3 linked regions of the Ovis aries genome follow. The protein of the gene in region 3 purifies or fractionates together with the protein of the main gene of each other region. This does not show direct contact. Links are inferred from orthologs where the notes say so. Each region holds a gene or a part of one and is shown on either strand. Other genes may lie near its edges. The genes, in order: FMR1, FXR1 and TDRD3.

Evidence for each region.
Region 1: the proteins of TDRD3 (region 3) and FMR1 purify together in Homo sapiens (affinity purification with mass spectrometry; 4 studies listed by BioGRID and IntAct, with this or other methods). This does not show direct contact. The link is inferred for Ovis aries from reciprocal best matches to the Homo sapiens genes TDRD3 and FMR1.
Region 2: the proteins of TDRD3 (region 3) and FXR1 purify together in Homo sapiens (affinity purification with mass spectrometry; 3 studies listed by BioGRID and IntAct, with this or other methods). This does not show direct contact. The link is inferred for Ovis aries from reciprocal best matches to the Homo sapiens genes TDRD3 and FXR1.

Annotation. Positions count from the first base shown.
Region 1 is NC_056080.1:87,704,784-87,708,443, forward strand, and holds part of FMR1 (fragile X messenger ribonucleoprotein 1), read right to left. Parts: intron 2,065-3,660; coding exon 1,869-2,064; intron 1,156-1,868; coding exon of another isoform or gene 971-1,155; exon of another isoform or gene 330-970; coding exon 147-329; intron 1-146.
Region 2 is NC_056054.1:206,880,304-206,882,614, forward strand, and holds the end of FXR1 (RNA-binding protein FXR1), read right to left. Parts: intron 1,672-2,311; coding exon 1,501-1,671; 3' UTR 616-1,500; downstream 1-615. UniProt on the Homo sapiens protein: mRNA-binding protein that acts as a regulator of mRNAs translation and/or stability, and which is required for various processes, such as neurogenesis, muscle development and spermatogenesis.
Region 3 is NC_056063.1:1,957,324-1,960,983, forward strand, and holds part of TDRD3 (tudor domain-containing protein 3), read right to left. Parts: intron 2,812-3,660; coding exon 1,961-2,811; intron 1-1,960. UniProt on the Homo sapiens protein: Scaffolding protein that specifically recognizes and binds dimethylarginine-containing proteins. Plays a role in the regulation of translation of target mRNAs by binding Arg/Gly-rich motifs (GAR) in dimethylarginine-containing proteins.

The sequences.
Region 1 (3,660 bases), on a different chromosome or scaffold from region 3:
TTACGTGAGCCTTTCTTATGGTGACCAGTACAAAATGGAAGAAATGGGGGCTTGATAGTATGTCATTGAATCACCTAGCTTTTTCATAGAACTTCAGACAGTTGTTACAATTCAGCTTCATTTCTTAAACGAAAAACCCTCTGTACCTTTGAAGCTGCCTCCACGTCCTCTTCCTCCTTGTCCTCTTCCTCCGCCGCCACGCCGCCGCCCGTCTCCTCTGCGCAGGAAGTTCTCCCTCTCTTCCTCTGTTGGAGCTAATGACCAATCACTGAGTTCATCTCTGTGGTCAGATTCTGTTTCAGAAGCATTTGATGCTTCAGAATTAGTTCCTATCGAGAGTTAAAAGTTATATACCATTGTCCGACTTAAAAAAACGTTAGGTTAACAGAAACTTCCAGAGACGTTTCTGGGGGTAATCCATTACACTTCCCAATTTATAAGCCCACCAAAGAGTATATATCACCTTCCATTTTGTAAAACAAATTATCTTAAGTTAAAATGAAGGTTTTCACGATATTTGAGGTCAATTTTGTTTCAAACATTTTTGGTTCTCATTTTAAAAAAAAAAGGAATTCTATTAGCCATCTAAGTTCAAACCTGAGTATGCCACATCATTTAACAGCTGTGCTCCTTTAAACATCTGTGCTCTCTGGAGGAAAAGTTGCCTACAACAATTAAATGCAATACCTTGATAAACAAAACTTCTAGAAAGAGAGTTCCTTTTAACAAGGTTTGGCCAGGGACAAAGGGGAATGCACACATTTTGGTCATCTTAGAGAGGGTGGCAAAGGTGGCCATCGTGGCTACTATCTCAGGGAATGGTCTCTTGTGAGATCAGGGATTGGACCTCGTTGAATGGGGATATGCTTGTCTGATGCTTGGTCCACAACCTTCCCTCCCACTCCCGCAGGAATAACTGATTATTAGAAAGGATTTACTGTAGTCAACTTATTATGCCTGAGGGGGTGGGTTAATAACACAGGGGATGGGAGATGGGAAAATAACTTCTTGGTGAGGGGGAACCTTCCACAGCATCAAGAACAGACTGTTGGGAAAGGGATGAGGGCTCAGGTTCAAGGTTGGCCTTAGGAGTAGGTAGCTCTCTCCCCCACTCCAGAACAGCAACTCTACTACCTCTCTCTTCCTCTGTTGGAGCTAATGAGCAATTATAGCTTCACCATTATAGCTTCATTCCTGTGGATCTTGAAGGCTTTTCCATCTTACAGAGTTCCTTTTTGAAACGCAAATATTTGTGAGATGGATTATACCTTATACCATCATTAGCAAGTTACATAGTAGATACACAGTTGAGCAAGACAGTAGGCACGGGCAGTGGGATAGCGTTCAGTGAAAGGTACTGGGAGAGAAGAAAGAAGCACTGAGAGAAGAGCTGGGGAGGCAAAGAGAGACTTCGCCTACTTCTTGACTTTGCCTAGGGCTGACTTTGGCCATGCCACTCAAAATCACCTTATGAGCCACAGGATGCAGACCCCTGATTTACACAGTCCATCCAGCAAGTATGACCAGCACATGCCTGACGAAACATGAGCCACAGTACACAAATGAAAAAACTTTTGGCTATATAGTAATAAAATAAGGAAAGGCCTTAGGAAAGGCATTAGCATACAAGGGCTTAAGCAGATTTATCCCCAGTCAGACTGTGGACAGAACTCACACCTGCCCTGTGAACTCTATGGGTTATTATCAGGTTTTTCACTCTATGTGTCTTGCAACACAATTTGACCCACTGTGAACTGGAAACCATGTAGTGAGAAATTGTTATAATGGGGTTCTAATGAATATTAGAGATTAGCAGCTATTAAGTCTAGGAACAGATAAAGTTACTGAGTAAAATGCTTAGTTTGTACCTGAAGTATATCCAGGACCGCGTCTGCCGTGCCCCCTATTTCTGTAAGGTCTACTACCTCGACCCAGTCCTTGACCATCATCAGTCACATAGCCTTTTTCCTTATCTGTACGATTTGGTGGTGGTCTAGAACTAGCTCCAATCTGTCGCAACTGCTCATCAATTTGTAATCTCTCCAAACGCAACTGGTCTACTTCCTATTTAAAATATACAAGATAACAGTAAAAATAATTTGACATTTTACTTAATAAAACCTTTCTCCTTTTCATCAGATAAAAAGTATACTGGAAATATTTCAATTTCAGCTCTAAGTTTATAGTAAACACTGTTACACAGAATTATCAGGAAATTGAATGGTCTCCTTAAAAAGAAAATTACTACAGATAACATATTATTGATGTCCAGAATTAAGAGACAGAACAAAAATACTCAGCATTAAAATTATACTGAAAGAATTTAAAGTTATTTAATTTGGCAATATTATCCAATAGATCTGCTAAGGCACAAATATGGTAGTTTTGGGACTTCTTGATAATAGGTTATTGAATAAAACAACTCTAAAATGTATGAATACAGATAAATGACATTTAAGACTTAACCAGCTAAGCTTAAAAATCACACATTGTAAATAACCTTAATTAATGAAACACTGAATTTGGGCCATCTTCTACTTTCAAAGAACAGGAACTATCTAACAGTTAACCCAAAAAATTGGATATCATGCCTTGAAAACCTCTTAAAGACTACAACTCTGCTAAGACAAGTATGATGAACAGTATAAAATCAATTGACCAAAATATACACCTGGGGTCCACTAACAGACCCTCACACACAATGCTTCCAATATGCTAGGTTCTGTCAAAACCAGATGATGTCTCAGTTCTAACCCTTCTCCTTCCAATCTATTCATAAACATCGATTTACTAGCTGCAGGGAACTGGGTCCACAACTAGAGTAGTGGTTGGGTGTCTCAGTCAAGCAGAGGCAATCATAGGGACTGTCCACATGAACAGTCACTGGGGAAGCCCCTGTAAAGCTAAGTTCTTAAAATCTTAGTACAGCAGTTTCAGGAAAAGGGCAGGTAAGGATCTAGACGAGTGTCATCTGTGCTTTGAACCAGACATTGTTTTACAAAGGACTTAATTAAAGGAGAGACTGCCGCTGAGTGGCTTACTCCAAAAGTACAGTCATAGCTCATGGAATGGGTGGATCTTGCAAAACAGAATGGTAGTCCAGGTTATCCCATGGGGGCAAAGCAGTCACCACTCGGTGAGAGATGCAAAGCCCACTCAAGGGAAGATCTGGTGATGGGAAGCATGGCAACAGGACAGCTGCTAATAATCCAAAAAGATATTCAATGTGAAATATAAAGCAAAAGATCTAAAGAAGAACACTGGTTAAAAGAACAAGGGACTGATGCAATGCAACCTTAAATTTCCAGGTCTTCCACATTATTTAAGCTAAGAATAGGAAGAAAAACACATACAACAGATTACACATAAGACACACTTTAAAACAAAAGTGAATAAGCAAATCAATGGGGTATCCTACCCACATAAACCTTGCTGGATGAAACCTCTCCATTTTCAATTATTAATTGACCACCATAAGAAGGATAAGAAGTGCCTAGCTACTATGTGTTTCTTCCTTATTTACATGTAACTATAAATTGCTTCATTTTATTTAAGAAGTCAGCAGAAAAATTCTTAACAGGATAGCCTCATAAATACAATAGAAAGTTGGATTACTTTAAAAATAACATTTACTACCTGTTACAGTATGTTTTTGATACA
Region 2 (2,311 bases), on a different chromosome or scaffold from region 3:
AAATACTTCTCAGATCCCAAGTGAACAAAAAGGGCTCCCTCTTCTTGCTCAGTAGTCTTTATATAATATTGTGGAGCAAAACCCTCCCACAAATTCACAATTATTATCAGCTTGCAAACTTTTACTTTGTGTAAAAGTTTGTATAGTCCTAACATTATGCCATCTGGACAAAATATTTACAAAAAATCCAATCATTAATATGAGAACCTTTAAAATTATTACCTTGAAAACCAAAAATCAGTGACATTCCTTATTTAAAAACTGTTCATTATACTTTATAAAAATAACGAAGACTCAAAGGCAAAAGTAAAATTCTGGATTTTACCCGAATGCCTTCCAAAAGTTGCCTATGACTAGAATTTTGTTACAAAGACTTTCCTAATATCAAATCTCTGAGACCAATTCCCTAAACCATTCTATTCTAACATACTAAATTTTTAAGTACTAAGACTTCAGAGGATTCATTACAAAATGACCAACTAATATTTTAATACTATTTATGGACAAGTATAAATGCATCTTAAAAAGCAATCAGAATACTACTCTAGGCCTTTAGGTAGGTCCAACTACTTTTCAACAGTTGGTTTAAAAAGTAGAAAGTTAAAAATCAGCAAATGGAAGATCAAAAGTTTATTTACTACCTGCATACAAAAACATATTGCACATCAAACAATCAAAACCAAAAAGAAAAAAAAAAAAAGAAAAAGAAAAAAGGGAGGAAAAAGAAAAGATACTCTACTGAAGACTAACATGTAGTTTATACAGAATAAACCTTCTGGAAATTGATCTTTTCAGTAGTTCAGGTTATGTCTGAATGGACACGACTAATTCAGCTTAGTGTTTTAACTAAAGCTATGTTTGATTTTTTAAATACTGTACACTTTAATAAATAAACCAAACAAAGCCTCAATGTAGAACAGTCACTGCCAATAACACCCAGTGTCCCTGCAGATGAGTGTTTAACAAATGTATTCCAGTGGTCTGCAGATTTTCCTCTACAATACAGCATTTTAAAAACACATTAAAACAGACCAGTTTCCAGACTAAAACTAATGAAGAAATTACAATTCAGTGCAAAATATCTTAGACTGCATTTCATTCTAGTTTTCCTCAGGTGAAGAAGTGGTTGCATATTATTAAAAATGTAACAAAAGCAGCTAATGCTTTCATAAAGAATATTAGCTTAGGGATCCCACCCCACCCACCTCCCCCCCATCTCTGCCATATTTTGAAAACAAAATAACATTTCCTATAGCCAGCAACTTTTTTTAATGTTACATATACTATTCTCAAGGCACATCTGATGATATATAACACAGTAGGTGTCAAAGTATGTTTAACATATGATTTCTTCAGGATCCCTCCCCTTTCTGAATTCCAAATGGAGGAACTGAAAGTGCGATGGAAAGACTGGCGATCCATATTCTATCTTTGGCAAGCTTGTACAAGCACTATTGTAAAATGTAATGTAAAGAACTGTAAACTAGGAACTTCTTCAGTTTATGAAACACCATTCAGGACTGCTGCATCTTGAGTATTTTCTTCTTTTAAGGTATTAATCTTTTCTTCTCCTGGAGTACGCTGTAGCTTAGAAATTTCATCGCCAGAAGCACTAGTTGGGCCATTTATTGCCTTTTCTGAAGGACCATGCTCTTCAATCACATCTTTTGCCTGCCAAAGGGAGACAACTTTTTCAACTTCTTTATAAATAAAATCTATAACTGAGGAGGAAAATAACTACATAAACATCAATTAGCTAATAAATAATTTTAGTTTCACATACCACAATGATCTGAATTAAAACATTCTTAAAATTAAAAAAAAAAAAAAACCCAATGTATTCCACCTCTCTGGGTCTTTCAACTCTTTATCTCTAGTAGCTAGCAGTATATAAGCCACAGGAAGAATCTGTACCTGTTTATTGAAAACTTGCACCTAATTTCATTTTAACCACTGGAAAACTCACCATACAAAAAGACATAAACAGTTAATACCCTAAGTAAGGCAAACAACCACCTATTTACTCACCTTTTTTGGAAACTCAAATTTACGTATCAAATCCCTTAAAATATTTCAAAGAATTCAAACAAAGGTCTTTATCCACCACTTGAAGAGGGTCTATTCAGCCTATTGCTCCCCAAATTAAGGTTAACAGTCTCTATGCCCAATATCTTTTATAAATACTATTTCTAGTTCTAACTGAAAAATATTTCAGGCTCAAGCATGCATATCTTCAGTTACCTGGGGCCAAAAACAAAATCAAGAGTAGTCTTTAACCAAAATATTTCTGGTCTAGTTGGGTAAACAAGTG
Region 3 (3,660 bases):
AGTCCATTGTGAAGGAGATCAGCCCTGGGATTTCTTTGGAAGGAATGATGCTAAAGCTGAAACTCCAGTACTTTGGCTACCTCATACGAAGAGTTGGCTCATTGGAAAAGACCCTGATGCTGGGAAGGATTGGGGGCAGGAGGAGAAGGGGACGACCAAGGATGAGATGGCTGGATGGCATCACTGACTCGATGGACGTGAGTCTGAGTGAACTCTGGGAGTTGGTGATGGACAGGGAGGCCTGGCATGCTGCGATTCATGGTGTCGCAAAGAGTCGAACACGACTGAGTGACTGAACTGTACTGAACTGAACACCCTCTTTATTCCTCATCATTCATTGAACACAATGGGGCCTGTTTCCTGATCCTAAGCCATACAGCATCTCTTAAAACATCCTACCACACTTCCTAGCCTAAATTTCATTCCTTGAAATCTTCAGGTAACATTATCTCCACTATTCCTTCCAGTCACACATATGGGCACAGCCATCTCAACTGAAAGTACTCTATACATAAAATATTTGTTACAAATATATTTTTCACTTGATCTTCACATTCACCTAGGTCCTTCACAATAGTTTTCCTAGTACGACTACCTCTGGTTTTTATTACCTTGCTAATATCTCCAGCTGACTCATTGGAAGAGTCCCTGATGCTGGGAAAGATTGAGGACAGAAAGGTTAGAGGCTGTCAGAGGACGAGATGGCTGGATGGCATCACCGATGCAATGGACATGAAGTGGGGCAAACTTCAGGAGACGGTGTGGGACAGGGGGTCTGGAGGGCTACAGTCCATGGGGTCGCAAAGAGTGGGACATGACTGGGTGACTGAACAACAACAATATCTCCAGTGCCCTAACCACTCAAGTTTTTTTCCTATGCAAGTGCCTCCTGGGACTGTGAGAGGAAGAGGGCAATAGAGAAAAACTAGAGAGATATGGTCTTGTCTTCAAGGGACTTAAAATCATGGCAGGGGAAACAGTTATCAATATAGGAACCAAAAACAAAAATACTTACAAACTGTGATAAGCTTTAGAAAGTGAACAAGGCACTGATTGAGACAGACAATAATGTAGAAAGGAGGAGGGTGCAGACAAAAAAGGCTTCCTCTAGGAAGTCTCTGAGCCAAGTCTTCAAGGATCAGAAGAGCAGTTAGTGGAGGAGCATGCTGGGCAGAAATGGAGACACAAACAAAGTCCCTCCTGTCTGGGGGCCCTCTGGCCTCTTCCTTTCCTGTTCTCACTGTGTCGGTCTTCTTCCTTTTTCAGGCTCTTTTATCTGATTCACTGTATTCCTTCTCAATCTCATCTTGTATCTTTCCATTTCCATTCCCCACCCCCACTTTTCCTTTTAGCCAGTATATAATGTAGAACACAAGGCTGTTTAAATTATTGGTTTAATAACTCTTAAATTATTTATTGTTAGCTAAATAATTAACCTTCCTCCTCATAATGTTTTTAAAGTAGGTTAATTATGTATATTATCTTTAAGTTAAATGACATCTGCAGAACTTAACTGTGTGCCATTCAACTGATTTGCTTCCTTATGAATCAGTACAATTTTATTAGAAAGAAAAGCAAATATTAAGTAAAATAAATAAAATTATTTATTTTATTAAATTATTCATTTTATTAAGTAAAATAAATAAAAGTAAATATTAAGCTCAGTAGATGATAACTAAAGTAACTTGTCAACCTCATTTATTCACTTTTACAATACTTTTCTGATATGCAAGTGAAAATCAAACCTAACAACCAAGTTATGGAACTCCTAAGCATCCATAAAAAATATTAAATATTTTGCTCTTCCTTTGATAAGTTACATATGCATACATCTGTTCAAAGACTATAAACAAGTACAACCAGAGACTGAAACCCTGTCCCAAAGCCATGGTGTTCTACGGTCTCACTAGACTGTTACATTCAGTAATATTAGTATTTAATAACTTTACAGCATGCATACCTTGTTGTCTTCCCAATAAAGTGCTAAACATTCATCTCCAGATTTCCACAGTTTTGCATACTCCATAGGAATAGATGATTCTAGTACTTTTTCGGGTTTAATTGGCCCAGATCTTCTTTTGGGACCACTACTGTAAAATATTTTATCATCATAGGATGAAGCCGTGATGGGTCCTGCTGGCTTAATAGGTCCCACTCGCCTTCCCTTCAGTGGCATTTCTGTCTCTCCATTTGGAACACCAATGAAACTATTCGTTCGGACAGGATTCTGGTGTTCAGTATTCATATTAAAATGTTTTTCAATTTTTACACCACTAAAAGCTTCATTATTTACTGTTCGTGGCTTCCTGTCATAAAAATGATCCGAATTTGCTGTTTGGTTTTCTCTTTTCCCACGTTTGTGATTATTATAATCTATGGATTCTTGAGGAAAAGGATTTTCTTTTGCCTCTGCATAGGATGGACCTTTTCCTGATCGGCTTTGCATACAGTTATCCCTTTTTGTAAATACAGCATCACTGTGTGGGGAACTTAAAAGGTAAGAAGTATCTTTAGTTCTATCGTATCTAGAATATGATCTATCACATTTGATTCTCTCTTCAGCCCATACTTCAGATCCTGAAGAAGTACTTGGTCTTTCAGAACCTCTGTTTCTAGGTAATCCACTGCCTTCTAAAACTGCCTTTGAATTTTGGGTGTCTCTTTGAAAACGAGGAGGTTTTTCATTTCTTGGCTGTCTGGTATCATTTCGAGGAAGATATCGTGGTTGATTATTATCTTTTACTCCATTTTGCTCAGTATTTGACATTCTGTTTTGTCCTTGATGAAGCTGCTGCGGCTGTGATTTAGGTTCTGAAAAGTAAAAGTAATCATATGCATATTAAAATGAAGACTGCATTAATACTTAATTATCAAACTACTCATTTAACATCTTCCCACCTCATTATCTTAATCTCTCTTTGCTTGGTTAGACTCTTATGTTTCTAATGTACAGTTTGCCTGGTTAGCCACATTAGTGAAGTAAAGCAATGATATGAACCATGAAAAAATGGTGGATATTCAAAAGCAAGTTGTCTTTGTTACTGAATATTTGCATTGTTATGGCTATCTATACATGCTGCTCTGGTAATTCATTTCCCAAGACTGGTGAAACAGAACTACAAACTTAAACCACAGAAACTGCTATGAAACTGTACAAGTATACCTCTAGCTCAGTTCTTTTCTGAGTCCCCACCTCATTTTAAATGTATCAATCACTGTCAGTCAAGTTCTAGTCTTAGCAAAAAAAAAAACAAAAATTTCTCAGTTCTTTCTGGATCTGGAATTGCTAAGTATTTGGATTACAATTAGATATCTATTTATAAACTTTCCCTGGTGAAGGACAGGGAAGCCTGGTGTGCTACAGTCCACGTGATGCAAAGAGGCAGACACAACTGAGTGAATAATAACATAAACCTATCAAAGAACAGGTACTACTTGGAAATACAGGGGCAAAAGTGTCAAAATCTGATTAAGCAAAATAGCACAGAAAATGTCCAACCAAAAATCAAATCAGTAACATGGCATATATACATATACCTCACAGATAATCTGATGGTTATATTTCACATAATGATCTTTATTCTCCTTCGATTTGTTCTGTGTCACTTACTCTTTCTTCCTCCACTGTTTCTCATAGCATGTCTATAACAAATTACAATC